2 linked regions of the Danio rerio genome follow. Each later gene encodes a partner of the first gene's protein in a complex. Links are inferred from orthologs where the notes say so. Each region holds a gene or a part of one and is shown in the gene's direction. Other genes may lie near its edges.

Region 1 (3,521 bases):
CACATTTTCAAAGGAGAATAACAGACTTGAATTCTTGTTTTTCAGATAAACAAGTGTTCACTTATGCAGAGTTCAGATTTGCATGAATAACAAGCGTTCACTTATGCAGAGTACAGATTTGCATGATTTTTTTAAAGTAGTCGCATCATGGATGTTTTCACACTGCATGACTATCAGGGGCAGCATTCTGTCAGTGCTGTTTACACAGCAAGATGGATCGGCGACAGGGGGTTTCAAACCACATGACTTTACAATAGTAGAAATCGGCGGCAACTTTTGTCTTGGTCTGCAAACTACATTTCACAACCAAACACGCGAGATCAAGTTAAGTAGTATATCTATAGTCGATAATTAGATCAAAAGAGAAAGACGCCTTTAGTGGGGTAGAAAATGTACTTATTTTGCTCACATGACTTTTGAAGGGAATTTGCTATTTCTTCTCAACATTTTCTTTTTCGACCTGGTTGTGATATTGCTCTGACACGTCCAACAGACACGAGTGCTCTTCCAAATTTCTACTAGTTTTCCTCTATTTGTTGGGTCCAAATAGATGGAAAATAAGTGCTTTTAACTTCTCCCCCAACCTCTCACTGACCCTCAGATACCCATACTAGTGGATGCTGCTCTCTCATTGGCTGTAGGTGATCGCCGATGTAATTTTCAATCAGAACACATTTCACACGGCTTGATTATAGATTACCGACAGCTCCACATATTTAGCATGTCAAATATCTCACAGGTGTCAGCGACTCGTCTGCAATTCTCTCAGATCTTGTCTTTGATAGTTCATACTCTGTGATTGTTACAAGGCATTTGTCGGCGATTTCACAAAACCTGTTGGCGAGTCAAAATCAGAGCTAAAATCATGCAACTCGGCATTAGCATGTTTCTTAAATATCTGCAGATGTGTTATGGTATTTTTATGATTTAAAAAAAAATCAAAACCTTACATACAACATTTTTAATTTTATTAGTGGTTTGTCACTTCACTAAATGATTTAAGACACATGGTGTAAAAGCCTTTGTTGTACCATTTAAGAGTTTGTGTCATTTTTAATTTTCATTTTATTAATTTTCGCAGGTTTACAAGAGGAAGACAGAGGCAGCTAAGAAAGACTATTTGAAAGCGTTAGCGGCCTACAGAGCAAGTCAGCTCTCGAAAGTGAGTGTCTAATTTCTAGCCTGTCAGTTTCTGATTTGCACATTTATCTGATATTACTTATTTTTTCAACGTCTTTCATCCAGTCATCTTCTGAGCTTGAAGACAGCGCTCCTGCCACTCCTCCCTCTATGCCATCTCCTGCCCCCATCCACACTCCTCCTGCTGCCCCCATCCGTCCTCGGCTGACCCCCATCACTGAACAGAACACAATCACCAACATATGCGCCTCCAATATCATCCTGGACCTGCCTCAGGTCACCACTCGCTCCCGCACAGGCTCTCTACCTGTAGCCATTGGTCAAGCTCCAGCACCAAGCCCCGCCCCGACGCCCACTGTCACCAAAATCATCATCTCTAAGCAGATGCTTCAAGGAGGCGCTCAGCTCCACCAGATCCCAACATCCATGGTCACGGTGATTCCAGCTGGTGTGCGAGCCGTACAGCCTGGACGGCAGCCGCCACCTCTGCAGCAGATGCAGGGCACACCGCCTCCACCCCGCCTGCAGCAGATGGTGCAAACACAAGCCCCTCCGCCTCTTCAGGCCAAACCCCGTGGAGGAGCAGGCAGTTCTGTGGGCATCACCGTTACTCCACCTCCACCTCTCCAGATAAAGATCGTGCCCGCTTCAATACACTCTGACCTGTCTACTCCGATTATTGTTACTACAGCAGCGAGCGCCACTCCTGTGATTTCCGCATCCAGCATCTCAGCCGCAGATGATCCTGCTCCCGTTGAGGTGCAAGTGGAGGAACCCAGAGAGGAGCTGCACACCGGGACAGATGAGGCTGTGACAGAGGAGCCTGAAGAGGTTTGCTTTCCCATATTTAAAGGGATGGTTCACACACAAATGAAAATGTCCTCTCCATTTATGCACTATTAAAGGGGTGGTCCACTATCATATAATATTTTAAGCTTTGGTTGATGTGTAATGTAGCTGTGTGAACATAAACATCATCTCTAAATGTAATGCGCTCAAAGTTCAATGCAAAGGGAGATGTTGGCTTTTACAGAGTTAGCTTAGCAAAGCCTACAGCAAAAGTTTGGGGACTACAAACAATACATCTGGGTTAGTGAGATCACATACACTTCAGGTTAGGCACATTCACCCTGCACAGTGAAGGGGCATGGTCGGAGGCGCTGTAATGTTATAGCAGAGAAGGCTAAAATGCCATGCAAATGCTGCTATTTCCACAGAGCATCTTCTGTTTCTGTATTTGAGCTTCCAAAGGGCATGGCACAAAGAGAGAAGTGCTTACAATTTAATTTTAATTATGTTCCAGGCAATTATGATAAAGATATAGCTAGCATTTGACAAGGGAGAGCATCCAGAATCTCTCACAGTTCAGTGCTGGATTCGGCTAAAAACTCCTCAAAGGAGGAGCAGATCCAACCACTATATAAGAAGCTGTAGATTGTGAGCCACAACCTGTAAGTATTTTTATTTGTTAAAATTGATCTATGACATAGTGTCTAGCGTTAACAGTATGTTAAAGCAAGGGCTTAGACAAGGATATAAACAACAGGAAATGCTGTTTGGCACCGCTAAAAATTAAACTACAAATTCATATTTATCCGTCAAAATGCTGTGAACACCCACAACCTTCATCAGCACTGCAGTGTCTCTCAATGCAGACGCTTTCCCTGTGTTCTACATCTCAAATAACAAACTCACAAAAGATATGAGAACGTTTTATATTGCTTAAACATGCTTACAACCTAAATGTATGTAAAGTTTGTTCAGGCTGAAACTGATACGGCTAACAGCTACTCTGACAGTATTTACACAGCAAAGGCACAGCGTGTGCTATTAGAAGTGTGACGCTTTTCCTGTTGACATGGAGTCGATCTGCGAGTCACAGCACATTATGGCCCAATTCCAATTCTCCCCCTTAACCCTTCCCCTTACCCCTTCTTTTGTGCATTCAGGTGAATGGGTAGGGGTGGCCCAATTCTCTTTAGCTTAATAGCGTAGGGCTCAGGGGAAGGGCTTGATACCCCTTCAAAATGAGATTTTTCAGGACCACACTCGAAACCAAGGGGTAAGAAAATTTCCCAGAATACACCAGCCGCAACGGCAGTATAGCTGCACCAGAAGTCAGGAGATCCACAAATTAGTATTTATTTTGTCGTTATTACGAATTTTTACGACAAACAAGCATGTTTTAATATATTCATAACAGCATTTGTGTTTTACCGTCATGGTTTAAAAAACAAAAACACTAAAATAAAAACTGCTAATATCGCTATCTATTATCCCTAATCATAACTCCTGTATAGCAGTTACACAACATTCTGACTCTCGATGACACTCGAATCCCCTGTCAGATAAGTCTTGTGGTTGGGAATGAGCTCGTCTGC
Region 2 (2,551 bases), on another chromosome or scaffold:
TTAATAAATAGCCTAATTATTACAAAGCATTTATGATTATATTAGAAAAAAGCATAATAAGGCACTTTTAAGAGTGTTTCTCTTTCTTACTGCAGGGTTATAACAACAGTAAAGGTGTCATTTTGGAGGCTTCTTTCACACCAGACTCTCAGTTCATTATGATCGGTAAGTCTTCACTTAAGCTTCTCACAGGACTACAAAAGGACTTAAGATGAGTTTACAGAGATTGATCGTGTCTCCTCAACATTTCCAGGATCAGAAGATGGGAAGATCCATGTGTGGAATGCTGAGAGTGGGATGAAAGTAGCGCTTCTGGATGGGAAACACACTGGTCCTGTTACATGTCTACAGTTTAACCCCAAATTCATGACCTTTGCCAGTGCCTGTTCTAACATGGTAAGACTTAACCGAAGGTAGACACAAATCTGATGTTTGGCATAACTTACTGTATATGTAGATGGAATATGTGCAATTTGTCACATTTTCAAAACTTGTTTTGGGAGAAACTTGGAGGTAGTTATGAATTAGTTAGTCTTAGATGTCATGCCAAACACTGCTCACGGACATGTGGCTAAATGTCTGATGCATATGGCACACTTAATTGGAAACACTTTAACAGATCATCAGTTGTCCTCTGATTTCTGGGAGTCTAGTGTACAGCAATATTAACCAGTCCACCTGGAAACAAGTCTGATTGGATAAAAAAACTGCTGCAATGTTTATCTCAGTCTGCGTCCACATACATCTCCTACTGATTTCCTATATGTTTTGCTGACAGATCATTAAGTATATTGATGCGTTGTTGTAAACGTTTGAAGACCTGAATGGATGACGCATATGGCTAGGCATTCTGTAGACTCTTCCACGCACATACATAAGACACAACACAAAACGAATGGTTATTGGTTGGTAAAGCTGTCAGTCTGAAATGGCATCATGGGTGGTTCTTTAACCATTGAAATCTGCCAAAGTTCCCAGACCTTCAGCCATCAGTATATGCCTTAGTATTCCTGTTCATCTCAGTGGCATTTTTTTTACTTTGCATTCGTTTAGTACTCTATGCTTTCTGAAAATAATAAAATGTCAAATGGTGCAATCTAATCGATAGTATAATTTACTATAAAAGATTCACAGAATTTAAATGAATGAAAAGGAAATTGCTATGGACTGTAGTCTGTGAATGTTAAACTCAAAACAATTATTTAAGCATATGTGTTTTTTGTTTGTGTAAATAGATCAGAAAAATATTAGCCTCATTTTAAAGTATTACTTTTATTATTATTGTTTATTTTTGTGACTTGTGATGCAGACTTAAAAAAAAAGAACTTAAGAGATGAACATAAAACAACTGTATAAAACAGCCTTTTTAGTATAAGGTATTTTAGTCAGTAGCATTCACTGCTAATTTTTTATGGTAATTATTGGAGAAATGGAATGGGGAAAATGTGATATAAAAAGAGTACACAGGGTTGTCAAATTGTCCTTAAAATCTTCTGCGTTTTCTTTGTGTAAATACTGCAGTAGTCACTAATTGACGGCCATATATATATATATTTATATTTATATACACATACAGGGTGGGCCATTTAAATGGACACACCTTAATAAACTTATTGGGAATTTCACACAAAAAAAACAATGATGTGCTTGCTTTTAACAATTTTATTCTTTCATGAGTTATTTACAAGCCCCCTCACATACTATTGTGCCACAAACAGGACGTTAATATCACCAGCCATTCCCATTTTATTAAGGTGTATATAGATGCATCATTATTCCTGATGTATATCACAAACATATTCTGAAATGTCCCCTGCACAGGCGTTCTGGTTACCCACCATTGATGATTGATGGGCAGCTGTCATCAGTCGGCCTGTGATGTTCTTCCAGCAGGTGGCGTCATTCACCCTTCTCTTGGCACACATGAAGATGTTCACCGTGGGAATTTTGGACTGTAAATAGATTTGGCTTGATGCCGAGTTGTATTATTATTATTATTTTTTTTTCATTTTATATTTGTATGATTAAAAAGTTTTTGTAAAACATTAAGTGATCTGTTCACACATTCTGTTTTGTTTGAGGTTGTAACAGTGCTCAATGAAACTGAGGTGATGTAAAACATCCAGCAGAATTGATCTTAGCTCTCCAAACTATACCAGAAGTCAGCACCTGTAGATTTAGCATCTTGTGCGATCTAAAAAAAAAATGTCAATGGAACTTTTTTTTTTTTAATAAACATGTTTATACAACTTTCCAAAGATTTGGTTTTGAGGCCTTTCAGACATGTAATGCTTCTAGCTGTTGTGTGTAGTCCAGTATAATTGTGTCTGAGGGGAACTGCTTTTATACCATTATTTTACCTGTTTCTGTTGCATTTCTTTGTAATATCAGCATTGTAAATTGCTTATAAAAACAAATTTTATAATCAGTATACACTGACCAGCCTCTCTGAAGCGTCATCTTGTTTTGTAACTTACTTTGCACTAACAAAACAACACATTTTATTTATATGAGTTGTAGCTTTGTTGTCACTGTAATTTGTTTTATTTTT

Evidence for each region. Proteins that work in one complex are often made in the same cells at the same time.
Region 2: tox4a (region 1) and wdr82 share a complex: the UniProt entries of both Homo sapiens proteins name them as parts of the PNUTS-PP1 phosphatase complex. The link is inferred for Danio rerio from reciprocal best matches to the Homo sapiens genes TOX4 and WDR82.

Annotation. Positions count from the first base shown.
Region 1 is NC_133177.1:41,094,620-41,098,140, reverse strand, and holds part of tox4a (TOX high mobility group box family member 4-B), read left to right. Parts: intron 1-1,081; coding exon 1,082-1,162; intron 1,163-1,245; coding exon 1,246-1,971; intron 1,972-3,521. UniProt on the Homo sapiens protein: Transcription factor that modulates cell fate reprogramming from the somatic state to the pluripotent and neuronal fate. In liver, controls the expression of hormone-regulated gluconeogenic genes such as G6PC1 and PCK1.
Region 2 is NC_133181.1:44,014,743-44,017,293, forward strand, and holds the end of wdr82 (WD repeat-containing protein 82), read left to right. Parts: intron 1-95; coding exon 96-165; intron 166-253; coding exon 254-396; intron 397-1,821; coding exon 1,822-1,851; 3' UTR 1,852-2,049; downstream 2,050-2,551. UniProt on the Homo sapiens protein: Regulatory component of the SET1/COMPASS complex implicated in the tethering of this complex to transcriptional start sites of active genes.